7 linked regions of the Macaca mulatta genome follow. The protein of the gene in region 5 binds, or shares a complex with, the protein of the main gene of each other region. Links are inferred from orthologs where the notes say so. Each region holds a gene or a part of one and is shown on either strand. Other genes may lie near its edges. The genes, in order: NET1, PKN1, MYO9B, ARHGEF12, RHOA, ARHGEF25 and ARHGEF28.

Region 1 (2,900 bases), on a different chromosome or scaffold from region 5:
CTTTGTTTCCAAGTATAGATCCCTCATGTTTTCCTCACACGATCTCTCTGTGACACATTTCTCCCCTCTGACAGGCCTATCATGACCCCATGTTAAAGTTGTCCATCATGTCAGAAGAGGAACTCACGCATATATTTGGTGATCTGGACTCTTACATACCTCTGCATGAAGGTTAGATGTGCAACTTAATTGTCATTAAATCTAAAGAGCAATAACGCACGTAATTTTTCAGTCTAAACTTCTAATGTAATGCTGACGTATTTTTTAAATAAACCTGTTAATGGTGTTTATGCTTTTTTATCACTTCAGATTTGTTGACAAGAATAGGAGAAGCAACCAAGCCCGATGGAACAGTGGAGCAGATTGGTCACATTCTCGTGAACTGGGTATGTAGTGAGTTATTGACCCCAGATACAGTTTCTTACAGATGTGCCATGTTGCAGTTTCTGATAAATATGAGATTGATTTGATCCCATAACTCTGTTCTACAAACACATAAGGCATTAAAACTAAACAAGTTTACAGTGACATAAGAAATTACAGTCTGTCTAAAAAAAAAAAAAACAAAAAACTTCATTAATGCTATAGGTTGATTTGTGTTGCAAATATGTTCCTGCTTGGATAGAATTGCCACATTATGTGTGATTATCCGTTGCATTCTTTCATGTATGTTTCAGTGCGTGCCAGATGCTGGGCACTGTTCGAGGAGGAGTCGCTGGGAGTCAATGATGAAAGGCAGTCTCTGCCTTTATAGCCTAGTGAAGGGATAGCCAAGCACATAAACAGTCTCAGGGCTGGTGGCAAATGGAGGACACTCAAGTGTCCTGAGAGCACAGACTGCCGGCGTCTGAGGTTGGAGGGGAGTAGAAGTCATGAGTCTTCACTTGGATTTAGCCAAATTACAAAAATTTGAAGAGCATTTTGATGATTGCTAAAATAGTATTCAACTTCCATTATTATCTGCCAGAAAATGTCCACAGCTTGTTAAAACTCTCAAGAATAGCTGTACATTTTGTGTTTCATGTTTGCAGGCTTGTTAATGCGCTCAGTTGTAACAGGAACACATCATACCTTTTCTTTTGTTACTCTTCAGTTGCCGCGCTTGAATGCCTACAGAGGCTACTGTAGTAACCAGCTGGCAGCCAAAGCTCTTCTTGATCAAAAGAAACAGGATCCAAGAGTCCAAGACTTCCTCCAGCGATGTCTTGAGTCTCCCTTCAGTCGAAAACTAGATCTTTGGAGTTTCCTAGATATCCCTCGAAGTCGCCTAGTCAAATACCCTTTACTGTTGAAAGAAATTCTTAAACACACTCCAAAAGAGCACCCTGATGTTCAGCTTCTGGAGGATGCTGTAAGTAGTCCCTTAAGTGATTGTTTTCCTTTTTAAGTTTATGCATTAGGCTGCTGTAGAACGTTGTCTTCTGAAGATGCTGCTTCACATCAGCACAGTGAATTGTTTTGTTGTTTTAAGTACCCAGTGCATTAGTACACTGTGCACTAAGCAATAAGGAGATGTGAGTGCTGGACTTCGCACATTTTATATCTTAAGGGACAGGATTCTCATCTGATCTCACCTTTTCACCTTTGAACAAATCACTCAATTTGGCTAGGACTGTTTCTTGATCTATAAAATGAACAGACTGACAGAATTAACTGATTTCCGGAGTCCCTTCAAGCTTTAAAGTTCTTCCATTCCATATGACATTTTTGCCCTGCGGGAAGCAGGATGAGTTAATAAACTGAAGCTGCTCTGTCAATTTTATTTATCATTTTCAGATATCGATAATACAGGGAGTCCTCTCTGATATCAACTTGAAGAAAGGTGAATCCGAGTGCCAATATTACATTGACAAGCTGGAGTACCTGGATGAAAAGCAGAGGGACCCCAGAATCGAAGCGAGCAAAGTGCTGCTGTGCCACGGGGAGCTGCGGAGCAAGAGTGGACATGTAGGTGACTTCACCGCCGCGGCGGAGCGGCCTTCCCTCTGCCCCTTTAACTTTCACACGTTCATTATGAAGCAAGCTGGTAAGGGTAAAGTCATGACATGGTAAAAGAAGGTTGCCGATTTTAATTTTATATTACCAGCTTGATAAAGCCAACATTTGGTTTCTTTGACTACAGAATAAATAAGATGCCTTAAATGTCTCCGTGGAGAATCAGTAATACTTTATTTTTTAGTTTTGAAGCATAAATCAACTTGTTTGGCCAGGGGTTTCTTTCTAAATACGATATTAGTTCCAAAATGTTTAATAAAAAAAATCCTTCAAAAAACTTTTAAGAGTTTATCTTATGCTTATGGAAGTGGTTTTTAGCATTACATAACAAATTTCTGAAGCAGATTGAATGAATGCAAATTTATTTTTAAAATGCTAATTATAAAAGTACCTGCTAGAACTAAGTACAGTCATGGAATGGTATTTTTGTTTCATCATGCATTTTCAAAAACCCAATTTGTAAGTTGGAGTTTTGTTTAAAAAATTTGAAATCTGACATCTCTGATTTTTCCCTCATGAGGGAAAAATTTATAGTTATAAATTTGTGTGGGACAAAATAGAACCATTAGTATTTTACCAGCTTGCATTTGTAATCCCTACTTTGTGTTAGAAAACTGTGGTATACAACACTAGTGTTTCAAGTCAATGCTACTACTAATAGGTCTTTGTGATGCAGAGCATTCACTTAGCTGCTGCTTAATCTGATATTACATACCAGTAAGAAATGTTTTTTTTATTCTGAGATTGGAAAAACTTTCCAAATAGAACATGCATAGCCTTGAAATCACCATCTTTATGATTACTAGATTTGTCACTTAGTAAGAGAGATCTTCAAAAAATAAATCTGATGAAATTAATAATATCAAGTTATTTTAGCAATATATTTCAGTCACTTAAAAACACAA
Region 2 (3,500 bases), on a different chromosome or scaffold from region 5:
CCCAGCCCGGCCTGCTGCAGCTCTTGGGTGCTGGCTAACTCGGGCAGGGAAATGTCCCATTTTATAGAGGTGGAAACTGAGGCCAGGGAGCCAGAGCAGCCCTCAATCACACAGCACTTGGTGGAGGCAGACTTGGATCCCACCCTAGGGCACACGCAGTTTCCAGTGAGATCCGAGACACACAGGGGTGGGGTCTCACCTCGCCAACCAGCATCTCGTAGAGCAGCACACCCAGCCCCCACCAGTCCACAGCCCGCGTGTATGAAGTGTCCGTCAGCACCTCAGGGGCCAGGAACTCCGGGGTCCCACAAAATGTGCTGGTCCGGTCCCCATAGCCCATCCCTGGGGACAGCAAGGCCATGTGAGGTTATGGGGGCCAGAGGAGTCATTCAGCCCAATGTGGGGTTGTCCACACAGCCAGCCCTGTCCCAGGGTCAGGGTGGGGGGTACCCCAAGTAGGGTTAGGGACCCCATTCCTTCCCGCTCCTTTGTCTAATCCCGAGGCCAGTCCCTCACCCTCCTTGCAGAGGCCAAAGTCTGTGATCTTGACGTAGCCCTCGGTGTCCAGAAGCAAATTGTCCAACTTCAGGTCCCTGTTGGGGGTTGGGGGATGGAAAGAGGGATGAGCGGGGGTCTGGGCCCTGTCCCCACAACGGGCAGTGTGCACATGCATGCGCGCACACACACACACCTGTAGACAATCTTGTGTTCATGAAGAAACTGTAGGCCCAGCACCACGCAGGCGGAATAAAAGCTGCAGAGAGAGAGGCTGCTGAGGGGTGGGGCCACCCTGCAAGCAGGGAGGGTCACATAAGCCTGGTTCCCACAACCTCAAAAGCCCCCCCAGTCTCCCCAAAGCTCTGGGAGGCTGGGGGAAGCAAGGCCTGAGGGTGGAGGGGTGAGAAGCAGGCTGCCGGCCTCTCGAGGGGACTGAAATGTCAGACGCTGTGGAGGGAGGCGGGGCCCGGGCCGGGGGGCCAGGCTCACACGGCACGAGGCTCAGAGAACACGTCGCTGTGGATGTGAAGCATCAGGTCCCCACCGGCCGAGTACTCCATCACGAAGCACACGTGCTCCGGTGTCTGGAAACAGCCAAAGAGGTTCACCAGGAAGGGATGTCCCGCATTGGTCACTGCCGCCAAGATCCGCTTCTCACACATCAGGCTGGGGAGGGGTGGGGGACAGAAGTCAGAGACCATGGCCGCCGCTTACCCCCGACTCCCAGACGGCAAGCAAAGCCCATACAGAGGGAAGCAGAACTGAGAAATGTCATCTCAGCACCTGGATACAGCCATGCCTGAAGGCAGCACACTCCTGGACTTTTCTGATGCAGACCAATACATTTCTTTACTTGTTTCTGAGTTGGGTTCCTGATTATCAAAAGAATGCTGGGAAGACCAAGGACAATCTCAGTGCCTGTACCGAATGTTTAGAGGGGTTAGGCACTGTGTAGACAGCACCTGACAACCGTGTGTGTGGAAGGCAGCAGCACTCCGCTTCTCCACATCAAGAGGGGTTCTTTTTTTTTTTTTTTTTTTGAGACAGAGTCAAGCTGGAGTGCAGTGGCGCGATCTTGGCTCACTGCAACCTCTGCCTCCTGGGTTCAAGTGATTCTCCTGCCTCAGCCTCCCAAATAGGTGGGACTACAGAGGCCCACTACCACACCCGGCTGATTTTTGTATTTTTAGTACAGACGGGGTTTCACCATGTTGGCCATACTGGTCTCGATGTCCTGACCTCGGGTGATCCATGCACCTCGGCCTCCCAAAGTGCTGGGATTACAGGCGTAAGCCACAGTGCCTGGCAAAGAGGCTGAGGTTCTGAAGGGAGAAGTGACCTCCCCAGGATCTCCAAGCCCATGCTGCAGATGTGAGATTTGAACCCAGGATCCTGTCCCCAAAGCAGAGGCAGTATGTTTGCACCACGAAGGGCACAGGCTTCAGAACCTGAGTCTCTAGCTTTGAATCCTGGACCTGCTGCTTACTGGCTGTGTGACCTTGGGTAAATTGCTCAACCTCTCTGTGCCATCAGTATTTACCTTATAGGGCAACATGGAGGAACAAACGAATAACTTTTATAAGAGCTATTATTATCTTGGTATTAGGCTAGTAGGTATTAGTGACTTATTTGTTCTGAGACAGGGTCTCACTGTGTTGCCCAGGCTGGAGTGCAGCGGTGTGATCTCAGCTCACTGCAACCTTGACCTACTAGGCTCAGGTGATCCTCCTATCTCAGCCTCATGAGTAGCTGGGGCTACAAGCACGTACCACCACACTCAGCTAATTATTTTGTATGTTTTGTAAAGATGGGGGTGTCGCCATGTTGCCCAGCCTGGTCTTGAAATTCTGAGCCCAAGTGATCCACCTGCCTCAGCCTCCCAGAGTGCTGGGGTTACAGGAGAGAGCCACCGTGCCTGGCATTAGTGACCACTATGAGTCACTCTCCCTGCAGCTCCAAGGAGAGAACTGCTCTGTCATTTCCCAAAAGAGAAGACAGAGGTCCCCAGAGGACCACGGCAGGTCCCCACCTCTCCACCTCGTCTCGGGCCACAATGTCCCCTTTCTTCAGAGCCTTGATGGCGAACAGCTCCCCACTGGGCCGGAATTCGGAGAGCAGCACCTGGAACCACAGTGGGCAGGGGTGGCTTTAGTGGCCAGCCAGGGACCTGGGGGGGGGTCTCCCAATCCGCTGCCCTCCACCTCACCTTCCCAAAGTGACCCCGGCCCAGCACCGCCAGGAACTTGAAATCCTCAAGGGTCAGAGGCGACTTCCTCAGAGGGCTGTGGAGAGAGGCCACTGGTGAGGACAAGGACAGCAGGCAGGGGTGGGTGGTGGGCAGGGGGCCGGGGAGTGGTGTCACCTGCACAGGGCGGGGCCTGGGGTCTCCTGGGTCTCCGAAGGCAGCTTGGGAGTGATGGAGGATTCCTGGATCGGGGAGCTCTGTGGCGGAGAAGAGGCCAGAGTAAGGGGAGTCAGAGAGGCCCTCATAACCACAACAGCCTCTGAGGCCCTGCAAGATCTGCCCCCCACCTCTCTGTCCTCACCTCTCCTCCCATGCGGCCCCTCACTCACTCTCCTCCAGCCACACGCCTGCACCACCACGCCTGGCTAATTTTTGTACTTTTAGTAGAGATGGGGTTTCACCATGTTGGCCAGGCTGGTCTGGAACTCTTGACCTCAGGTGATCCACCCACCACGGCCTCCCAAAGTGCTGGGATTACAGACGTGAGCCACCACGCCCAGCCCGAATTTTCTTTTTTTTTTTTTTTTAGAGACAGAGTCTTGCTCTGTCGCCCAGGATGGAGTGCAGTGGCACAGTCATAGCTTAGTGCAGCCTTCAACTCTACCTTCACCTCCTGAAGGTAGGGGGTGGGACTAAAGGCTTGCACCACCACACCCAGCTAATTTTTTTTTTTGAGACTGAGTTTCATTCTTGTTACCCAGGCTGGAGTACAATGGCACGATCTCCGTTCATGGCAACCTCCGCCTCCTGGGTTCAA
Region 3 (3,500 bases), on a different chromosome or scaffold from region 5:
CGGCTTCCAGGGCTTCCCTCTCCTTCTCCTCTGCCTTCTGCTTCTCCAAGATCATCTGGCTGAAGCTGGAGTGAGGAAAAAGCAGACAGCTGGTTCAGAAACAAACCTTCCTTCCACCTCCCACTGAGTTCCGATGGGACCCCCAGCCTGTGGGCTGCAGACGGGGCTTCGCCTGTGCCTAGTGGCCCTGAGAGATGTTTCTGGAAAGCAGGAATCTCCTCGATCAGGAAAGGAGGCTGAGGGTGGTGCCCCCTCAGTGTCACAGATACTCCTGCCCTGTGTCTGCCTGGCTGCCTTGTTAGGGGAGAGGACCCTTGTTGGGGCTGTGGTGGGTGGGTTCTGTTAAGAAGCCTCAAACTCGTTTGGGGTCCACTGTGGGCTTTCCCTTGAGTCTTTTTCTAGGAGGCTTTTTGTTTTGTTTTTATTTTTATTTATTTTATTTTATTTTTGAGACAAAGTCTCACTCTGTCATCCAGGCTGGAATGCAGTGGCACTATCTTGGCTCGCTGCGACCTCTGCCTCCCAGGTTCAAGTGATTCTTGTGCCTCGGCCTCCCCAGTAACTGAGATTATAGACATACACCACCACGCCCGGCGAATTTTTGTATTTTTAGTAGAGATGAGGTTTTGCCATGTTGGCCAGGCTGGTCTCAAACTCATGTGATCTGCCTGCCTTGGCCTTCCAAAGTGCTGGCCTTACAGGTGTGAGCCAATACGCCCAACCTTTTTGGTTTTTAGAGACAGTGTCTGACTCTGTCACTCAGGCTGGAGTGCAGTGGTGTGATCATAGCTCACTGCAGCCACCACATCCCAGACCCAGGTGATCCTCCTGCCTCAGCTTCCTGAATAGCTGGGGCTACAGGTGTGCATCACCACACCTAGCTAACTTTTTAATTTTGTGTAGAGATGGCATCTTGCTATGTTGGCCAGGCTGGTCTCATACTCCTGGGTTCAAGTGATCCTCCCACCTAAGCCTCCCAAAGTGTTGGGATTACAGGCATGAGCCATTGCACCTGGCCTAGGAGGCTTATTTGCACATGTGGGTAGGGCCTGCTCTGGGAGCTGGGATGTGACCTGTGGCAGAGCTGGGTCTGTGTGGCAGGGGAGAGGTGCACAGGGTGCCTAGGTCAGGGAGGGGCTGGGCTTGTAGCTGTGGGTGCCGGGACGGGAGTTGCTGATATCTTGCTGGGGGGTTCTCTGTGCCTGGTGGATGCCCCAGCTCCATGTTGAGTGTTGGGCTGGTCCAGGCGCTCCCTCCAACCCTGAATCCAGGTGCTCCCTGACCGATCCAGGTACAGGGGAGTCCCTGGGCAGAGAATGGGTGCAGCCAATGGCAAAGCAGAGCTTTGTCCCTGAGTGCTGCCTGCCAGCCTCAGAGCCCCTCTCTGTAGCCCATGTGTGTCCAGGCATCTAGTTTCCCACCAACCCTTCCCTGTGTCCAGAATGACATCCCCTTAGTGCCACAGGCCAGATGGTATATCATGGGCAGCAATTTGGTGAGTGACCCTTTTGGCTTCTGGAATATTCTGGGGAGCGTGGCCTGGCTCTGCTCACCTCTTGCGCTGCAGGTGCCCCCGGCAGAGGCTCTGCAGGCGGATGATGCTCTGTTTCCGGCGCCGGTAGAGCTTCCGCTGCCAGTAGCCCCTCCATGCGGCCTGGAGGTACACCGCGGCCTGCGTCCTCTCCAGAGCCCTCCGGACCCGGTAGGACCGCCAGCAGGCCTGGATGGTGACGGCGGCCCGCTTCATCTGCAGGAAGTGCCGACGCTCCAGCACCATCCGAAACCAGCTCTGCAGCAGCAGGATTTTCCGCACCACCTCCCGGTGTAGCGTCTCCTGTAGGGCTTGCCGCTCTGTCTCCTTCAGGAAGACCTGGTGGGCACGGGGTCAGGTGGGGTCAGCCGCGCTGCCCCTGACACCACCTCTGTGCCTGGGAGGTCTGCATAGCCCACTCCAGAGTGAGACCCAGGCTGCTGTGCTGACCAACCAGGGCTTTATTTATTTATTTATTTATTTATTTATTTATTATTTTTTTGAGATGGAGTCTCACTCTGTCGCCCAGGCTGGAGTGCAGTGGCGCCCTCTCGGCTCACTGCAACCTCTGCCTACTGGGTTCAGGTGATTCTCCTGCCTCAGCCTCCTGAGTAGCTGAGACTACAGGTGCCCATCACCAGGCCTGGCTAATTTTTGTATTTTTAGTAGAGACAGGGTTTCACCATGTTGGCCAGGCTGGTCTCGAGCTCCCAACCTCAATTGATCTGCCCACCCTGGCCTCCCAAAAATGCTGGGATTACAGGCATGAGCTATTGCACCTAGGTGTGGCTCTGTTTTTTTTTTTGAGATGGAGTCTCACAGGCTAGAGTGCAGTGGTGCGATCTCAGCTCACTACAACCTCTGCCTCCCGGGTTCAAGCGATTCTCCTGCCTCAGCCTCCTGAGTCGCTGGGACTACAGGTGTGTGCCTGTAACGAAACCCTGTCTCTACTGAAAATATAAAAATTAGTCAGACGTGGTGGCGGGCACCTGTAATCCCAGCTGCACGGAGGCTGAGGCAGGAGAATCACTTGAACCTGGGAGGTGGAGGTTGCAGTGAGCTGAGATCGCACCACCAGTCTGGGTGACAGAGTGAGACTCTGTCTCAAAAATAAAAACAAGAAAGAAAAAGAAATGAGGTCTCGCTTGGTCACCCAGGCTGAAGTGCAGTGGTGCAATCACAGCTCACTGCAGTCTCAAACTCCTGCCACAGCCTGCCAAGCAGTTGGGACCACAGGTGCATGCCATCATGCTTGGCTAATTTTTAAATACTGTATAAAGACGAGGTCCCGCTATGTTTCCCAGGCTAGTCTGACACTCCTGGGCTCAAGGGATCCTCCCACCGCAGGCTTTCAAGTAGCTGGGACTCTGGGCGCGTGCTACCTCGCTTGGCTGGAAGGGAATTTTTTTACACCGGGTGAGGCCTTTGGGGGACTGACCTTGGCACTTGTTAAACAAGGGTGGCTGAATAATGCCCCCACAGCAAGAGGCAAACACATGCCCAGAGATGGGAGACGATCTCTGAAAGGGACGACAATTGCAGGCCGCCTCCCACCTGATACTGTAAAGGGGATGGACCAGCTCCTAAATCCTGCCAGTTAGCATGATCGTCCCTTTCCTACCTGTGACGCAGCAATAAACAGGTGATGCAGAGGGAGTCTCTGAGCCCCGCTGAAGAGCAGCAGGTGGGGCTCAGCCAGGGCGGCCCCTATCCCTTAGGTGCAGTATTCTGCTGGGTCCCTAGAAATGCATTTCCTAGACAGAGCCCTGTATGTTTCAGAGAGTGGCCCTGGGGGCCTGGGAAGACACGGTGTGCGGTGGAAGGCAGGGTGTGGGTTTGCAGTGCCCCGAGGGGCAGGAGCACTGACCTTGGTCTTCCCGATCTGGTAGTTCCTCTTGTCTACCTTCATCTTCTCCAGGAGGGTCGAGATGACCTCCCTGCAGGGCTGGGCATCCTTGGGCAGGAGCAC
Region 4 (3,500 bases), on a different chromosome or scaffold from region 5:
GCTTCTAATCCCAAATCTCTGTCTGTCCAATGGAATAGAAAAGGTAGACTACAGCTAAACAAAGCTTTTAACTTTTAACATGAAGCATTCAGGCAAGAATCAGAAAAACAACTCCATAAACTACAGAGATCATCTGTTAAGCAAAATACACAGCACATAGCGCAGTGTTATACTGACACACAGAAGGCTCAAAAGCAAAGTTTGTTAAACTGAATCTCTGATGCTGGAACCTGCATAAATCAAACAGTATTAAAGTTTCTTTGCATTTTATTTTATTTTATTTCATTTATTTCTTTCTTTTTTTTTTTTTTTTTCTTTTTTGGCATTTTGGTCTTAGTTGCCCAGGCTGTAGTGCAATGGCACGATCTTGGCTCACTGCAACCTTTGCTTCCTGGGTTCAAGCAATTCTCCCTGCCTCAGCCTCCCAAGTAGCTGGGATTACAGGCACCCACCACCATGCCCGGCTAATTTTTGTATTAGAGACAGGGTTTCGTCATGTTGGTCAGGTTGGCCTCTAACTCCTGACCTCAGGTGATCGGCCTATCTTGACCTCCCAAAGTGCTGGGATTACAGGTTTGAGTCACCGCACCTGGCCAGCATTTTAACAGATAATAGAGCACATTCTCCCTTGAACTTGTCAGAAAAGTGTACCTGGACTCTGCAAACCAGTGACTGAAATGCCATGCTGTTCCTCTTTTAATTTTGAAGGATCTTCTTCATCATTATCTCCTCTGTAAAGGAAAAAAAACAACAACAATCTTTTAGCTTCCTGAGGTACCTAAACATCATTGCAACAAAATGTAATAATTATGCTAGTCTTTTTCAACCCAAAACATAAAATAAGTCCTACTACAATGCAAAGGAACACTCACTCGCCAGGTGTTGACTGGGGTAATGGAATTGGCTTTGTGGATTGCTCCTTCACTGATGCAGCCATCCGACAGATTAGGTCCTGCCAGCTTCAGAAAGTTGGAAAGAAATCCAAAATACAAAAAAGAAACAACAAAAGAAATATCCTTTAAATATACTCACAAAACAAAAAGAAAAACAGAACTAAACAAAAACCAATCAACCAACCAACCAAAAAAAAAAAAAACACTTCACTCTGCCAGAGAATATCTTTATTTTGGCAACACACTATTAAGGTGAGAGTCCAAAACTATACCTTAAGAAAAATCTAACGTTATGGAGACATTACCCATTAAAAAAACTTCAGCTGACGTTTTCCATATTTTTTTCTTTAGGAAATAAACTTCCAGAATAGAATCAAAATAAAAGGCATCAATCTAAAAAAGAACAATTTCATAGTAGAATGTCTCTAAAAGAGTAGAAGAAGTGCTTGGTTTCCATACATTATAAAAACAAAGTTAAGTTTATGGAGTATTATGCTTGGGATAATGAAAATAGTAGCTATAGCAAGGTAGCCATATCTAATACATACACAGTCTTTTCAGAAACTGTCTGTGCCACCAGTTCATAAATCTGAGCTCCATTGTCTGACATGGAGATGACGAATAAAGCTTTGTTATCTGGAAAAAACAAGACAAGATTACTCTAACACTCTGATCTTGGGAGACCATGAGGGATGTTTTTAGAGTCTTGAAATAGTCCTCTCCTTAAACTAGATAAAGGTTACATATATTTACTTTAAAATTCATCAAGATGTACAGTTAAAATTTGTGCAACTTACCATATTAACCTATTTATTGTATTATATTTATTGTACTTCAATAAAACAAAGATTATACAAATTAGCACTAATTCCACAATAATTCACTAGAAACAAAAGGATGTCAAAAATCCAAATTACTGGCTGGGCATGGTGGCTCATGCCTGTAATCCCAGCACTTTAGAAGGCTGAGGCAGGTGGACTTCTTTGAGCTCAGGAGTTCGAGACCAGCCTGGGCAGCATGGCGAAACGCTGCCTCTACAAAAAACAAAAAAATTAGCCAGGCCATGGTGGTACATGCCTGTAGTCCCAGCTACTCAGGAGGCTGAGGTTGAAGAATTGCTTGAGCACGGGATGCAGAGGTTGCAGTGTGCCAAGGATGCACCACTGAACTCCAGCCTGGGTGACAGGGTGAGACCCTCGTCTCAAAAGAAAAAAAAAAAATCCAAATTACCAAATTAAATGCTATTACTCTTTTGCATTTATTTTGAACTGCCCTTTTGCTAAGTTGTTAATAATATTCAGTGAATAGTGGAGAAAAGAGATCACAAATTTATTTTGCCACCATGAAACTAACAAGTTTTAAAAGGGACACCTTTGTTAATAGAGTTAAAATACAACTTGCCAGTCAAATTTGATTTTTAATCAAAATTCCATCCATCTCTTCAGTTTTTATTTTTTTTCTCACCAAATCAAAAAACATACCACCCTAAATGAAAGGCTTTTCACTGGGATCTATCAATGATTTGAACATAAAGAACCAAAGTAATAGCATAAAAATTTTCAAATACAGAAAACCATTCACAGAATCTAGACACCCTAAATAACTTTGGGGTATAAACTCTTAAGTCTCTTTCTAAGCAGTAAATTTCACGTAATTTGCTTAATAATATAAAAATAGCAAGACTCTATGCCACTTGTGTTACTTAAACAGCAATGAGTATCTTATGCAACTTCACAATGAATCTGGAAATTAGTATCCTTCAGTGGACATACTTGCCTGTTGCCACTTGTCGAACCAACACTGTACTCAACTTAATGACAGGGCTAAACGTATGTTTGCTATCAGCTGTAGATGCCAGAATCTTACTATGACACCTTAACACCAGTCTATCATCCTGCTTTTGTAACAATACAAGAATGTCTTCCAGCAGCAATGTGTATAAATCTAGAAATAAAAGTACAGAAAAAAATGGTAAGTACAGAAATTGGGACGTCTTTGGTTAACTTTATAATGATTCAACAGAGGAATTTTATTTCTGTTAAAGCTACAAAATGTTCAAAATTGACTTGTATATTATCTTTTAAAATTTCATTTTCAATAATTCATTTTTATTGTATTTCACTAAAGTGTCAATCTGTGACCAACAGGAAATAAAAAACAACAAGCTGGGTGTGGTGGTGTGCGCCTATAATCCTGGCTACTAGGGAGGCTAAGGCAGGAGGATCACTTAAGCCCAGGAGTTCGAGGCAGCAGTGCACCATGACTGCATCTGTGAATAGCCACTACACGTCAGCCTGGGCAACATAGTAAGACCTTGTTTCTTGGAGGAAAAAAAAAAAAAAAACAGTTCCTCATCACAGACAGTTTAAGAAGTACTGGTCTAAAGAAAGCTTACAAAGCATACTAAGACTTACTAGAATATAAGAATGATGGAAATAGGACTAAATCAGATCTCTGTTACATTCCTAAATGAATATTTAACACGTTACATATAATGAAATAACACAAGCAGATCTACAAATGTACAAATAACACGAGGTAGCACTGCTAACTGCTGAGAGAATGGTTCTCTCCTCTTCCTTTTGTCATAGGAAACTCCTATTTCTT
Region 5 (4,190 bases):
CCTCCCAAGGTGTTGGGATTACAGGCGTGAGCCACCAAGGATTTGTGTTAAAATTTTTTTTGCTGGCCAGGCACGGGGGCTCAAGCCTGTAATCCCAGCACTTTGGGAGGCCGAGACGGGTGGATCACGAGGTCAGGGGATCGAGGCCATCCTGGCTGGCTAACACGGTGAAACCCCGTTTCTACTAAGAAATACAAAAAACTAGCCAGGCGAGGTGGCGGGCGTCTGTAGTCCCAGCTACTCGGGAGGCTGAGGCAGGAGAATGGCGTAAACCCGGGAAGTGGAGCTTGCAGTGAGCTGAGATCAGGCCACTGCACCCCAGCCTGGGCGACAGAGCGAGACTCCGTCTAAAAAAAAAAATTTTTTTTTGCTTTATTTTTTTCTTCTTTTTTTGTATTAGAGATGGGGTGTTGCTATGTTGCCTAGACTGATCTTGTACTCCTGGGCTCAAGTGGTCCTCCTGTCTCAGCCTCCCAAAGTGCTAGGATTACAGGTGTGAGTCAAGCAATGCTCGTGCCTCAGCCTCCCCAGTAGCTCGATTACAGGTGCCAACCACCACCTGCCCACCACCCCCGGCTAATTTTTGTATTTTGTATTTTAGTAGAGACAAGAATTATACCATGTCGGCCAGGCTGGTCTCAAATTCCTGACCTCAGGCAATCCACCCACCTCAGCTTCCTGCTGGAATTATGGGCGTGAGCTACCCTGGCCAAGATTTTTAACTTCTGAAGCTTATAGCTGCTCTAAATCACAAGAATTCAGTTCCATAATTTTAAAAAGTTGCTTGTTTTGACTTTAGGTATATGGTTGAACATTCTAACTTTTGTTATGTATACATTTTTATTTTACTGTATTCTTGTGGCCATTGTATCCTACTCTGTATGTTGCAGATGAGTTGTGATTCTCTGGACTTAGAGATCACATGCTCTATTACCAGGATATTTTTTTGTAACTCCGTTTGTTGTTTGGGATATAGGCTTTGAGAGGTTAAGGAAGTAAATTTAGGATGGATATTGATGTTGTAGCACTTTGTTAATCCTTTTCTCTACAAGATAATTTTATTATGTGATACAGCAATTTTGTTCAGAGATGTTTTGTGTGTGTGTGGAAAATTTCTTTTCTGGATGAAATCTCTTGTTTAACTTCTCCAGTTATTCATAATGAAGCTGTTTATCTTTTAAAGATATTAAGTTCAGAAAAGGAAGGCAAGCTGCATACAGTGGCTCACGCCTTTATTCCAGCACTTTGGGAGGCCAAGGTGGGTGGATCACCTGAGGTCAGGAGTTCAAAACCAGTCTGACCAACATGGTGAAACCCCATCTCTACTAAAACTACAAAAATTAGCCAGGTGTGTTAGTGGGTTACTGTAATCCCAGCTACTCAGGAGGCTGAAGCAGGAGAATTGCTCGAACTTGGGAGGTGGAGGTTGCAGTGCTCCAAGATCACAGCACTCCAGCCTGGGCAACTCTGTCTCAAACACAAACACAAAGAAAAGGAAGGCAGTAGAGTATCTTATTTAAGAGCATGGATTCTGGAGAGAAGCTGACAGTTAAATACTAGCTCTGACACTTGATGGCTTGAGACCCTTGACAGTAATATGATTCCTTTTTGATTCAGTTTTTTTCTTCTGTAGAAAGGGAATGGTAAGCGAGCACTATGAGATTTCAGTGAGAGAGAAGCACTTACCTCAAGTGCCAGACAGCAGCCTTTCAGCTAACTTATTATATTTATTTATTTTTTGAGATGAAGTTTTGCTCTTGTTGCACAGGCTGGAGTGCAATGGCACGATCCCAGCTTACTGCAATCTCCACCTCTCAGGTTCAAGCGATTCTCCTGCCTCAGCCTCCTGAGTAGTTGGGATTACACGCATGTGCCACCATGCCCGGCTAATTTTTTGTCTTTTTATTTTTATTTTTATTTTTTTTCATTTATTTTTATTTTTTTTGAGATGGAGTCTCGCTCTGTGCAGTGGCCGGATCTCAGCTCACTGCAAGCTCCGCCTCCCGGGTCCACGCCATTCTCCTGCCTCGGCCTCCGGAGTAGCTGGGACTACAGGCGCCCGCCACCTCACCCGGCTAGTTTTTTTTTGTATTTTTCAGTAGAGACGGGGTTTCACCGTGTTAGCCAGGATGGTCTCGATCTCCTGGCCTCGTGATCCGCCCGTCTCGGCCTCCCAAAGTGCTGGGATTACAGGCTTGAGCCACTGCGCCCAGCAATTTTTTGTATTTTTAGCACAGACTGGTTTTCACGATGTTAGCCAGGATGGTTTCGATCTCCTGACCTCAGGTGATCTGCCTGCCTCCACCTCCCAAAGTGCTGGAATTACAGGTGTGAGCCACCGCGCCTGGCCTACTTTTTTTATTACTTTTTTTTTGGAGACCGAGTCTGGCTCTGTCGCCCAGGCCGGAGTACAGTGGCATGATCTCGGCGCCCTGCAACCTCCGCCTCCCAGGTTCATGCGATTCTCCTGTCTTAGCCTCCCAGGTAAACTGGGACTACAGGTGCATGCTGCCACGCCCGGCTAATTTTTGTTTTGTATTTTAGCAGAGACGGGGTTTTACCGTGTTGCCCAGGCTGGTCTCCATCTCCTGTGTTCAGGCAGTCCGCCTACCTTGGCCTCCCATAGTTGCTAGTATTACAGCCGTGAGCCACCGTGCCTGGCCTTTTTTTTTTTTGAGACGGAGGCTTGCTCTGTTGTCCAAGCTGGAGTGTAGTGGCACAATCTTGGCTCACTGCAACCTCTGCCTACCCAGTGCAAGCGATTCTCCTGCCTCAGCCTCCCAAGTAGCTGGGACTACAGGCGCGCGCCACCATGCCCAGCTAAATTTTTTGTGTGTGTTTTTGTGTTTGTTTTTTCACTAGAGACGGAGTTTCACTATGTTGGCCAGGCTGGTCTCGAACTCATGACCTCGTGATCCACTTGCCTCGGCTTCCCAAAGTACTGGGATTATGGGTGTGAGCCACAGCGCCCGGCCTTTTTTTTTTTTTTTTTTGGATAAGGTATTGTTTTGTCTTCCAGGCTGGAGTGCAGTGGCATAATCTTAGCTCATGGTGGCCTCCAGCTTTTGGTGTCAGGGTATCCTTCCACCTCAGCCTCCCGAGTAGCTGGGACTACAGGTGTGTGTGCAACTGCGCCCAGCTAATATTTTTACCTTTCGTAGAGATGGAATCTCAATGTCTTGCCCAGGTTGGTCTCAGACTCCTGGGCTCAAACAATCCTCCCACCTCAGACTCCCAAAGTGCTGGAAGTATGGGCGTGAGCCACTGAGTCCAGCTATCTTCAACTTTCACTATTCAGGTTACAGTTTGTAGTACCTTTTTTTGGCAGGGCAGGGGAAGGGTAGCGGGAGTAGCGCCCTAAGATCTCTTGGAATAAAACAGGGCTTACTACTTGGTTCCTGGTGCTTAAGAACATGTTTCCTAGACTCGGCTCTTTCCAGACTTGGAATCCAGTTCCCCAAGTTGGAATCACCTGAGGTTTGTTTTAATCACCTTCATGGAGGTATAATTTGCGTACAATAAAATGCATATACTTTATTTTATTTTATTATTATTTTTTTTTGAGACGGAGTCTCGCTCTGTCACCCAGGCTGGAGTGCAGTGGCCGGATCTCAGCTCACTGCAAGCTCCGCCTCCCGGGTTCACGCCATTCTCCGGCCTCAGCCTCCCGAGTAGCTGGGACTACAGGCGCCCGCCACCTCACCCGGCTAGTTTTTTGTATTTCTTAGTAGAGACGGGGTTTCACCGTGTTATCCAGGATGGTCTCGATCTCCTGACCTCGTGATCCACCCGTCTCGGCCTCCCAAAGTGCTGGGATTACAGGCTTGAGCCACCGCGCCCGGCCAAAATGCATATACTTTAAATGATAGTTTGATATATTTTTTTTTAGACACAGGGTCTTGTTCTGTCACCCAGCTGAAGTACAGTGTCGGAATCATAGCTTACTGCATCCTCAACCTCCTAGGCCCAAGAATTCTCCACTTCAGCCTCTTGAGTAGCTAGGGTTGCAGGTATGCACCACCACGCCTGGCTACATTTTTAGTTTTTAATTATTTTTTTGTAGAGAGAGGGGTCTCACTAAGTTGCTCAGGCTGGTCTTGAACTCCTGGTCTTAAGTGATCCTCTCGTCTCAGCCCCACAAAGCCCTGGGATTGTAGGCACGAGCCACCACAAACCACCAGTTTGATAAA
Region 6 (4,253 bases), on a different chromosome or scaffold from region 5:
CTGCTCACTGCCCACTATGCTTCACCTTCCTCCTAGGCTGAACACCCAAACCCAGGAGTTCGGTATCCTGGCACCACACGGGTGGCCTACCTCCCGGACTGCCCTGAGGGCAACAAGGTGCTGACCCTGTTCCGCAAGGCGTTTGACCAGCGTCTCACCTTCACTATCGGCACGTCCATGACCACAGGGAGACCGAATGTCATCACCTGGAATGACATCCACCACAAGACCAGCTGCACAGGGGGACCCCAGCTGTGCGACCCCTCTTCACTTCCTTTCCCTTGGCTCCTCCCCTTTCCTCCATTTCCACTGAGGGACCCACCAACCCCTTGCTCTGGGAGCCTCCTAACTGGAGAGGACCACTTCCAAACTGTTCAGCCGTCTCAGTTTCTCCTACATTCAACCTGGTCCTGGTGTGCCCAGCTTAGCCTACAAAAATAAGCAGAATTGGGCTAAGTTATCTTGGGTTTGGAGGTGTCCTCCCTTAGGGGAGGTGGGGAGGTATCTGAGTCACCTAGAATAAGGGTGAGCATGGGGATAATAGCAAGTTCCAACAGCTAACAACCCTCACCCTCATTTCTCTTTGCTCCCAGGTTTGGGTACCCAGACCCTACCTACCTGACCCGGGTGCAAGAGGAGCTGAGAGCGAAGGGTATCACAGATGACTGAAGGACATCGCCTTTGCCAAGGCCCCTGCTGTCCACCTCTACTAGGACCCAGCAGAAGCCTCTTTCTCCTCTCTGCCCCCCGCCCCCCACAACACACCTGTAGGGGACCTGTCTGACTGGGAAGGGCGTTCTGAGAGGGAGGGGGCAATCCCTTCCCCCATCCCCCACCGGCCAAGTGTTTCAATGCAGTGTGAGCCACTCCCTTCTGGCAGAGGCCGACCTCCAAGGCTCTGTTCTCCACTCCCGGTGTACATATACTCCCCGTTTCCCTGCCCCTCCAATGCCCTTGGCTTTTTCTGGTGTGCTGTGCTCCATGACCAAGCAGAGAAAGGACCTAGGGTGGGGAAGGGAGGGTCTCTTGATTCCCAACTGCCCCCACATACTGCTTCACCGCTGAACTTAGGGTGCTGGAGAGGAGGAATTGGGCTGATATGAGCTCCCCACCACCCCCCATGGAGCCGGCTGTGTGTGTTCATCAGATACAGTTCTCCCTTAACCTTGTCCTTTCTTTCCTGTGTCCCAGTCTCCGTCAGTCTGTCTTTCTCCGCTCTTCTCTGACCCCTGTGAGGAACCTCCTTACCCTGTTCTGGAATCGCTGCCAGACTGTAGCTTTTAATTTAATAAAAATAAAGTAAAATATGCAACTCTTCATGCCACACCCGTTCTTTTCCAGGGACTGGGTGGGGGTGGGGTGGGGAGAGGGACCTGCTGGAAAGGGGAGAGGGGGTGATAGGGAGATCCCTGTGTGCCCTCCCAGTCCCTCTGCCTCCTGAGGACCTGGGGAACGGGATGCACCAGCGGGCTTTGTAGTAATACTGCGAAACCCTGGGCCACACTTCGATGTTGGAATTAGTATTAAGAGGGTGTTTTTTTGTTGTTCAACCATCGTTGTAGAGAAAAGAACAACCCTACCCCCTTTGCGAAGTTTGGCTGGGGTGGGAGTGGGGGCGGAGCCGGGCAGGGGGCGGATTCCACAGCAGCAACTCCCTGGACGAGAGCAGGCCTCAAAGCCCCCCAGCTTCCGTGCCCCCTCGACCCTGAAACGTGGAGCTGAGTGGGGGTTCAGTATGAAGCCCCCGGACCGCCCCGCCCCTGGCCGCACTGACCGGATACTGGGGGTCATGGGGAGCATGCTGCGCGCATGCGCCCTCCCCGGGCAGGAGGGGGTAAGAATGGGGGCCCGTGGTGGGGTCGGGGGTCTTTCGGGGCCTTCAGGAGGGCTGCACCCACAACTCAATTTATCCGAAAACGAGTTCTGCGGGGCAGTCGCAGGAATACATGAGTTCCATTACGAGGGCCTTAGCCCCGTTCTGGGCGACCTTTTTATAATAATGTAGATTTTGACAGGTGGGAGAAGGGGAAAGGGGAGGTCAGGGCTGCCTAGGAAGGGGGGTTCCTTACAGTGGTTCTGTCCCCGCAGCCCCCGAGGAGAAGCCCCCTAGGGTCGGGGGATACCGAGCCAGAGTCTGAACGTACGGAGGGAGATCACAGAAGGGACCGCGAAGATGAGGTCCTCGCCTGGGCTCTGCAGCCCGGTAAGAAGCTGGGGGTGGGGTGGGGCAGTTTGCTATCCTGCGCCAAGTGGCGAATTCAAAAATATTCTGCTTTTATTAGCATAAAGTTCGCATCTAATTTGCATGAGACCCATTTAATCGCAGAGACCTCCACTCTTCTCGCCCTCGAGTCCAATGTGTGTCCCCCATCCCAGCCGGTACCGAGCCCCCGCAGGCAGAGTGTCCCCGCGCCCCACCCCTGGCCCCTCGCCAGCCCGGGCTCCAGGACTTCGCCTTAATTGGCGATTAGTCTTAGCTGGAGTCCCGGGGCCTGGAGGAAAGAAGGGTTCTGAGAGAGGGCGGCATCTGGGTTGTGTTCACCCACAAAAGGCTCCCCATACACGCACCCCGTACCGGGGGTCCTCTGTCCACGCGGCCGGGGACAACCCCAAACCCAGAACATCTTCGCACAGGCCAAGGCCCCATCCACCGAGTGCTCCTTCACCTCAGAGGCCAAGGGAAGACCTGGGCAGACCCTGCCGACAGGCTGAACCCCGACCCCAGCGCTCCAAAGAGCCCGCGATGCGGGAGGGAGGGGGACCCCGGGGCGGGGGAGCCCAGGCTGGGGAGGGAAAAAAGCGCTGGGGACGTGGAGTGGGAACGTGGTGGTGCCTGGGGGAGGGGCGATCCGGGCGGGAACCCGGCGCAGGCAGGAGGGGGAACGCGATGGAGAGGGCGGAGCTGGGCCGCAGAGGCCCCGCCCCGTGGCGGCCCCGCGGCCAGGCCTGTTATTCAGCTCGCCGCTCCGCTGGGACCCGCACAGCGCCAGTAGCTCGGGGGTCGGCTCTCGCCTCCTCCCCGGCCCGGGCCTAGAGCCACCCCCAACCAGAGGCCGGAGACAGCTGGAGCCGCTGCCGCATCCCGGCCCAGCCTCCCCTACCATCCCTCCCACTTCCACTGGACATCTGGACCCTGGGCCCCCGCACCGACAGGGTTCCGGAAACCCTCCCCGCCCAGCCCGGCGGCCGGGCCCTGCGCCTCCCTCTCTCTAGAGACCCCCAGCCCGCCTCAAGACTAGACTTCCGCCTACCCCTGGACACCTCCACCCGGTCCCCTCCCTCCCCCACTCCCACAGCCTGGACCGGGGTAGGAGGGAGGGGGGGTGTGCGCCCAGCGCCGTCCCCGCCCCGCCCCCCGTGAGTCCCCCTGCATGGCCGGCCCGGGTGGGGGACGCGGGGGGGCCCGGGCGCCATGCGGGGGGGGCACAAAGGGGGTCGCTGTGCCTGTCCCCGTGTGATCCGAAAAGTGCTGGCAAAATGCGGCTGCTGCTTCGCCCGGGGGGGACGTGGTGAGTGCCAGGTCGAAAGGGCCCAGTGTTGAGTGGGGGGCGGGCTGGGGGTTCAGGGCATCTGTTTGCCCTGGCCCTTGGGATTTAGGGTTGGAGACTGTATGCGTTTTCCAGCAAAGTGGTTTCTTAAGTGATCCCTAAGGTCCCTTCTGCCTCCAAATTTATGTTAGTTCAAGTTATGGAAATTGGGGAAGGGGCAGGGAACTCATCTCTTTCCCTTAGTCAAATGGGTTTGAGAAAAAACCATCCACAATCCCCTTAGGCCTAGAACCGATTATCTTTCCTCAAACCTTTTGCTAAGAATCTACTTCTGAAGAGGGACAGGGGAATGGAGGAATGAGAATGAGGTGGTTCTACAAGGGGCTTTATAAGGAATCACAGCTCTTCTGTCCCTGAGCCCAGGCCATAGATAACCCTGATGGACCCTCCTCACTGGCCTCCTCTATTGGATCTACGCATGTGTTGGGGAGGTGGGCTGCAGGTCTTTTCTTTTTATAGTGATTACTGCAATTGGTGGAGGAGGGGACTGGGAGTGGCAGATGGACCCAGCTCATCCTCCCCCCTTCCCAGAGAATGGTCTGTACCCATTGAAAGGGGGAGGGTTGTGGGAGAGCAGATGGCCACCCCCAGCTTCCAGTGTCTGCCCAGATGGCTGCCCCCACCCCCATATCTATGCTATGCTCAGGATATGGGGAACCTCCACATGTAACTGGGGGTTCCAGGTCTGGAGAGCCAGGTGTTTAC
Region 7 (3,500 bases), on a different chromosome or scaffold from region 5:
TTGTTGCTGTGGCCCACATGACAGTAGCAAAAAGGATTGGTTATGCCTGGGGAGTCGAAGGTCTTACCACCTATTAGTATCTTTTATAGTCCACGGGCTGGGCTTCTGAGTTTCTGGGCTTCTTTTCAGTTACCTCATTGAAACAATATTGCAAGTCAAATGGACTTTTTAGGGCCTCCATCCTTCTCAATCTCTGTGACATTTGACACATGAGTTTCCTATCTCATGCTGTCTTAGAAAAACTCCTGCCTTGACTATGGCATTTTGATATTTTTCTTCTCTGATTGTTCTGTATTTTAAACAGTTCAATTTTTAAACAACCAATTCCTTTTTTTTTTTTTTTTTTTTTTTGAGACAGAGTCTTGCTCTATTGCCCAGGCTGGAGTGCACTCACTGCAACCTGCACCTCCAAGGTTCAAGCAATTCTCGTGCCTCAGCCTCCCAAGCAGCTGGGACTACAGGCGCACACCACCACATCCAGCTAATTTTTGTATTTTTAGTATAGATGGGGTTTCACCACATTGGTCAGGCTGGTCTTGAACTGCTGACCTCAGGTGATTCACCTGCCTCAGCCTCCCAAAGTGCTGGTATTATAGGAGGGAGCCGTGCCCAGCCTAAATCACCAGGTCTTAAGGATGAGCATTCCCGTAATTCCTCTTTTTCCATCCTCTCTTTTCCATACCGTCTCCATGGGAGATTGTATCAACGTCTACAGCTCTTTTGAAAAGATTGGAAGTGGAGAAAGGTTTACCTACTACCGTTGCTTCCTTTAGCTCATGTTTTACGAGAGCCTTACTTTAGCTAGGACGCTGTTTCATCTGCGCACCTTCCTATTTTATGTAGGATCAGAAGCCATCGGTTATTTCCCTTCAAAAGCTTATTGCTAGAGAAGTTGCTAATGAGGAGAGAGGAATGTTTCTGATCAGTGCTTCGTCTGCTGGTCCTGAGATGTATGAAATTCATACCAATTCCAAGGAGGAACGCAATAACTGGATGAGACGGATCCAGCAGGCTGTAGAAAGGTAACATTTCCTTCTGTCCATAATCTATGGAACAGAGTTGTTCAACTGGGGAAAATATTCTAACCATGTCTTCCTGCATGAAAACTTTGCCTCTGCCAGAATGGTCTGCTCCCTGCCCCCTGCACCTGCCTGCGATAGCCCCCCATCTGCAGCTTTCTCCTCCACGCCTCCCTGCATGTAATGCCCGCACCTCCCTCTGCCTGTGTGTGCCCTGCCAGGCGTTGATGCAGCTCGGGCCTCCCCTCCTCCATGAGGACCTCTTCAGTCCTGGTGATCTCTTTCTTGCCTGAAATTCTTTAACACCTGCTCACTAAAGCATTTACTCAATGCTTCTTATATACTGCCTTGTAGCTATTATCTTTTTTATGTACATATGTGTGTGTTTCTTTAATTAGATTGGAAGCTCCTCGAGGGCAGGGGTCAATGTCTTATGTTTCTCTGTGTGCCTAGTGCTGAGAAATCATTCAATAAATGTTTCTGAATTGGTGGATCTAAGTATTCTAAGTCAATTTATTCCTCATTACTTGTGCAAGGACAGTTTTTATAATTGGGAGCACAAGGGTGGAGGAGATCATTCTCAACAGTAATTTAATTAGTTAGATCCTGAAGTTATATACAATTTCTGTACCTCCACTGCACCTCATCTGATCTGGCACCCCACTTCTATTCCCTAAAATTCTTATACTTTATTCCCATTATGGGTGTGTGTGGTGAGTGTGTTTGTGTTCACTGGAATATTTGAGTCATCCCACACCGCTGATTTTGAGAGTCATGTAATGTTATGCAAGATTTTTTGTATTCTCAAGAAAACAAGTCTCTGGCCAGGGGGCATGATGCATTCCCTTTATGCTGAAATTTTCTCCCTTTATGAATAAATCCATTGCCAAGTTCCCAAGTTTTTCCAATGAATCTACAGATACTTGCATTTGGTTTCAGTTGTGTCTCCTGACTATTGTCTTTTAAAGTTGTCCTGAAGAAAAAGGGGGAAGGACAAGTGAATCTGACGAAGACAAGAGGAAAGCTGAAGCCAGAGTGGCCAAAATTCAGCAATGTCAAGGTACAGTGCAGGCACTTCTGGCTCCCTGATCGTGGTGTTCTCCTGGGTGTTGGGAAAGCCTGAGTGTCATGAACAGGAGGTTATAACTACATGATTCATCCTGTGCACCTGAGGCCCATCTGGACCACCCTCCCAAGAAACACTGAAAACCAAAAACTTACACTAGAAATGCTCAAATAAGATGACATTCTCTTCACTTCCACCTTAGTGATTAAAATGGATGTAAAAAATGCACATGAAACAATAGCTGTGGGCAGTGTGGTACAGAGGAATGTTGGAGTTACTTGTCTCATGGTTTAATTTTAGGTCTCAACACTGTCATGTCAATGATTTTGGACAAGGAACCCAACAGATCTGGTCCCCAGTTTCCAAGTTTGTGAAAGAAGGAGATTAGACTAGCTCAGTGATTTTCAACTCTGGTTTGACATTGGAATCAGTTGAGAGGTCTTTAAAAATACGAATACCTGGGCCTCACCCTCCACCAATTGAATCCGAATCTGTGGCCGGTGGGATGTAGACTTTGGGGTTTTCAGCTCTCCCAAGGTGACTTTGAAGCACAGAGGAGACTGAGAATTCCTGGATTCAATGCTGGTTAAGGTCCCTTTGAGCTTTAAGAATTCTGCAATATGTTGAAATCTGAGGACAATGATGCATGCAAAGATGGGCAAAGAAATTGGATGTTTAGAAACAAAAACTTAAACCAGTATGTTTGGTTTTGACCAAAACTGGCTGAAGCCTGTGCCGTTCCAGGCATTTGTATTGTTCACTCATCATGAACGGGACTACCTCAATTTTCATTCCCAAGCTTAATGTTTAGTCTTAATAGAAACCAGCCTGAATAAACAAAGAATAGCTTTGCAAATTTTCTGGAATTAAGGGACTGAGAGAGGAACCTTATTTACAGAAAAGACAATGGAAGCTGAGAAAGTTGTTAAGTCACTTGCTGGAGGCCAGAGTCACTAAGCAGCATGGTCAGGACTGATACCTGCATCTACCCTACTCATCAGCCTGGGCTTTCTCTTGGAGGTCATACTGCTTGCTAATTAGCTACATCTTTTTCGTGGACTTTCACATTAGTGGTAGTATTCATGTTAGTGATAATCTTCTCTGGTAAATACTATTTCATAGAAATGCTCACTAACCAAGACCAACAAATTTGTGCGTATTTGGAGGAGAAGCTGCATATCTATGCTGAACTTGGAGAACTGAGTGGATTTGAGGACGTCCATCTAGAGCCCCACCTCCTTATTAAACCTGACCCAGGCGAGCCTCCCCAGGCAGCCTCATTACTGGCAGCAGCACTGAAAGAAGGTAAGTCGCTTTGAGAAGGGTTTGGGTTGACACGTTCAGAAAATGTTTATTGAACACCTACTATGTGCCTTGCACTGTGGTCTTGGTGCTGAGGATACAGCAGAACAAGA

What was found.
Region 1: the proteins of RHOA (region 5) and NET1 are in contact, whole or in part, in a crystal structure (PDB 4XH9), measured with the Homo sapiens proteins. The link is inferred for Macaca mulatta from reciprocal best matches to the Homo sapiens genes RHOA and NET1. Residues at the interface, in NP_001300870.1 of Homo sapiens: Arg5, Lys7, Tyr34, Pro36, Thr37, Val38, Phe39, Glu40, Asn41, Tyr42, Val43, Asp45, Glu54, Trp58, Ala61, Gly62, Gln63, Tyr66, Asp67, Arg68, Leu69, Arg70, Leu72, Ser73, Pro75, Asp76, Pro96, Thr100, Pro101, Glu102; in NP_001040625.1 of Homo sapiens: Glu177, Ala178, Glu181, Gln270, Leu271, Lys274, Lys281, Gln291, Leu294, Glu295, Arg300, Lys301, Leu302, Asp303, Trp305, Ser306, Asp309, Arg312, Ser313, Arg314, Val316, Lys317, Leu320, Leu321, Glu324, Gln347, Leu350, Ser351, Ile353, Asn354.
Region 2: the proteins of RHOA (region 5) and PKN1 are in contact, whole or in part, in a crystal structure (PDB 1CXZ), measured with the Homo sapiens proteins. The link is inferred for Macaca mulatta from reciprocal best matches to the Homo sapiens genes RHOA and PKN1. Residues at the interface, in NP_001300870.1 of Homo sapiens: Met1, Ala2, Phe25, Ser26, Lys27, Asp28, Gln29, Val43, Asp45, Ile46, Glu47, Gln52, Glu54, Thr163, Lys164, Arg168, Glu169; in NP_002732.3 of Homo sapiens: Glu40, Arg43, Arg44, Ile46, Arg47, Leu50, Lys51, Lys53, Glu54, Glu57, Asn58, Arg60, Arg61, Leu77, Arg78, Ser81, Leu84, Asp85, His88.
Region 3: the proteins of RHOA (region 5) and MYO9B are in contact, whole or in part, in a crystal structure (PDB 5HPY), measured with the Homo sapiens proteins. The link is inferred for Macaca mulatta from reciprocal best matches to the Homo sapiens genes RHOA and MYO9B. Residues at the interface, in NP_001300870.1 of Homo sapiens: Asp13, Gly14, Ala15, Glu32, Tyr34, Val35, Pro36, Val38, Phe39, Gln63, Glu64, Asp65, Tyr66, Arg68, Leu69, Leu72, Asp90, Glu93, Asn94, Glu97; in NP_004136.2 of Homo sapiens: Glu1731, Gly1732, Arg1735, Lys1736, Ser1737, Gly1738, Ala1739, Ala1740, Arg1744, Lys1772, Gln1773, Arg1776, Arg1840, Met1841, Ala1845, Ile1848, Ile1849, Pro1852, Cys1853, Arg1856, Pro1863, Leu1864, Ser1866, Met1867, Val1870, Thr1874.
Region 4: the proteins of RHOA (region 5) and ARHGEF12 are in contact, whole or in part, in a crystal structure (PDB 1X86), measured with the Homo sapiens proteins. The link is inferred for Macaca mulatta from reciprocal best matches to the Homo sapiens genes RHOA and ARHGEF12. Residues at the interface, in NP_001300870.1 of Homo sapiens: Arg5, Lys7, Thr19, Lys27, Val33, Tyr34, Pro36, Thr37, Val38, Phe39, Glu40, Asn41, Val43, Asp45, Glu54, Trp58, Asp59, Ala61, Gly62, Gln63, Tyr66, Asp67, Arg68, Leu69, Leu72, Ser73, Asp76, Glu97; in NP_056128.1 of Homo sapiens: Pro766, Asn768, Gln770, Glu790, Val791, Glu794, Thr798, Ala801, Cys888, Gln891, Pro892, Lys899, Arg922, Arg923, Leu924, Gln925, Lys927, Asp928, Pro931, Thr932, Met934, Gln935, Thr938, Lys939, Leu942, Leu943, Asn946, Arg968, Leu971, Asn972.
Region 6: the proteins of RHOA (region 5) and ARHGEF25 are in contact, whole or in part, in a crystal structure (PDB 2RGN), measured with the Homo sapiens proteins. The link is inferred for Macaca mulatta from reciprocal best matches to the Homo sapiens genes RHOA and ARHGEF25. Residues at the interface, in NP_001300870.1 of Homo sapiens: Arg5, Tyr34, Pro36, Thr37, Val38, Glu40, Asn41, Val43, Asp45, Glu54, Trp58, Asp59, Ala61, Gly62, Gln63, Asp65, Tyr66, Asp67, Arg68, Leu69, Leu72, Pro75, Asp76; in NP_891992.3 of Homo sapiens: Tyr163, Val164, Glu167, Thr171, Met174, Tyr175, Asp178, Cys253, Lys256, Pro257, Glu260, Ser264, Arg275, Arg281, Leu282, Asn285, Asp286, Ile289, Lys290, Val292, Gln293, Arg294, Met296, Lys297, Gln299, Leu300, Leu301, Cys327, Pro330, Lys331.
Region 7: the proteins of RHOA (region 5) and ARHGEF28 are in contact, whole or in part, in a crystal structure (PDB 6BC0), measured with the Homo sapiens proteins. The link is inferred for Macaca mulatta from reciprocal best matches to the Homo sapiens genes RHOA and ARHGEF28. Residues at the interface, in NP_001300870.1 of Homo sapiens: Arg5, Val38, Phe39, Glu40, Asn41, Tyr42, Val43, Glu54, Ala56, Trp58, Arg68, Leu69, Leu72; in NP_001171164.1 of Homo sapiens: Lys1140, Ile1142, Arg1144, Glu1145, Val1146, Ala1147, Asn1148, Glu1149, Phe1154, Ile1156, Ala1158, Ser1159, Ser1160, Pro1163, Glu1164, Met1165.

The regions. Positions count from the first base shown.
Region 1 is NC_133414.1:7,018,856-7,021,755, forward strand, and holds part of NET1 (neuroepithelial cell-transforming gene 1 protein), read left to right. Parts: intron 1-74; coding exon 75-171; intron 172-309; coding exon 310-386; intron 387-1,093; coding exon 1,094-1,351; intron 1,352-1,776; coding exon 1,777-1,947; intron 1,948-2,900. UniProt on the Homo sapiens protein: Acts as a guanine nucleotide exchange factor (GEF) for RhoA GTPase. May be involved in activation of the SAPK/JNK pathway Stimulates genotoxic stress-induced RHOB activity in breast cancer cells leading to their cell death.
Region 2 is NC_133424.1:15,077,248-15,080,747, reverse strand, and holds part of PKN1 (serine/threonine-protein kinase N1), read right to left. Parts: intron 2,984-3,500; coding exon of another isoform or gene 2,941-2,983; coding exon 2,861-2,940; intron 2,781-2,860; coding exon 2,705-2,780; intron 2,620-2,704; coding exon 2,528-2,619; intron 1,165-2,527; coding exon 988-1,164; intron 755-987; coding exon 692-754; intron 594-691; coding exon 517-593; intron 343-516; coding exon 200-342; intron 1-199. UniProt on the Homo sapiens protein: PKC-related serine/threonine-protein kinase involved in various processes such as regulation of the intermediate filaments of the actin cytoskeleton, cell migration, tumor cell invasion and transcription regulation.
Region 3 is NC_133424.1:17,671,812-17,675,311, reverse strand, and holds part of MYO9B (unconventional myosin-IXb), read right to left. Parts: coding exon 3,399-3,500; intron 1,871-3,398; coding exon 1,554-1,870; intron 66-1,553; coding exon 1-65. UniProt on the Homo sapiens protein: Myosins are actin-based motor molecules with ATPase activity. Unconventional myosins serve in intracellular movements. Binds actin with high affinity both in the absence and presence of ATP and its mechanochemical activity is inhibited by calcium ions.
Region 4 is NC_133419.1:121,160,609-121,164,108, reverse strand, and holds part of ARHGEF12 (rho guanine nucleotide exchange factor 12), read right to left. Parts: intron 2,838-3,500; coding exon 2,670-2,837; intron 1,530-2,669; coding exon 1,442-1,529; intron 960-1,441; coding exon 873-959; intron 732-872; coding exon 652-731; intron 23-651; coding exon 1-22. UniProt on the Homo sapiens protein: May play a role in the regulation of RhoA GTPase by guanine nucleotide-binding alpha-12 (GNA12) and alpha-13 (GNA13). Acts as guanine nucleotide exchange factor (GEF) for RhoA GTPase and may act as GTPase-activating protein (GAP) for GNA12 and GNA13.
Region 5 is NC_133407.1:112,848,108-112,852,297, reverse strand, and holds the start of RHOA (transforming protein RhoA), read left to right. Parts: upstream 1-1,390; 5' UTR 1,391-2,007; intron 2,008-4,190. UniProt on the Homo sapiens protein: Small GTPase which cycles between an active GTP-bound and an inactive GDP-bound state.
Region 6 is NC_133416.1:64,778,498-64,782,750, forward strand, and holds the start of ARHGEF25 (rho guanine nucleotide exchange factor 25), read left to right. Parts: upstream 1-1,453; 5' UTR 1,454-1,735; coding exon 1,736-1,834; intron 1,835-2,088; coding exon 2,089-2,203; intron 2,204-2,951; exon of another isoform or gene 2,952-3,412; coding exon of another isoform or gene 3,413-3,509; intron 3,510-3,562; exon of another isoform or gene 3,563-3,927; coding exon of another isoform or gene 3,928-3,979; intron 3,980-4,253. Other genes in the region: putative E3 ubiquitin-protein ligase DTX3, read left to right, coding at 37-441. UniProt on the Homo sapiens protein: May play a role in actin cytoskeleton reorganization in different tissues since its activation induces formation of actin stress fibers. It works as a guanine nucleotide exchange factor for Rho family of small GTPases.
Region 7 is NC_133411.1:80,273,916-80,277,415, forward strand, and holds part of ARHGEF28 (rho guanine nucleotide exchange factor 28), read left to right. Parts: intron 1-843; coding exon 844-1,022; intron 1,023-1,987; coding exon 1,988-2,079; intron 2,080-3,207; coding exon 3,208-3,390; intron 3,391-3,500. UniProt on the Homo sapiens protein: Functions as a RHOA-specific guanine nucleotide exchange factor regulating signaling pathways downstream of integrins and growth factor receptors. Functions in axonal branching, synapse formation and dendritic morphogenesis.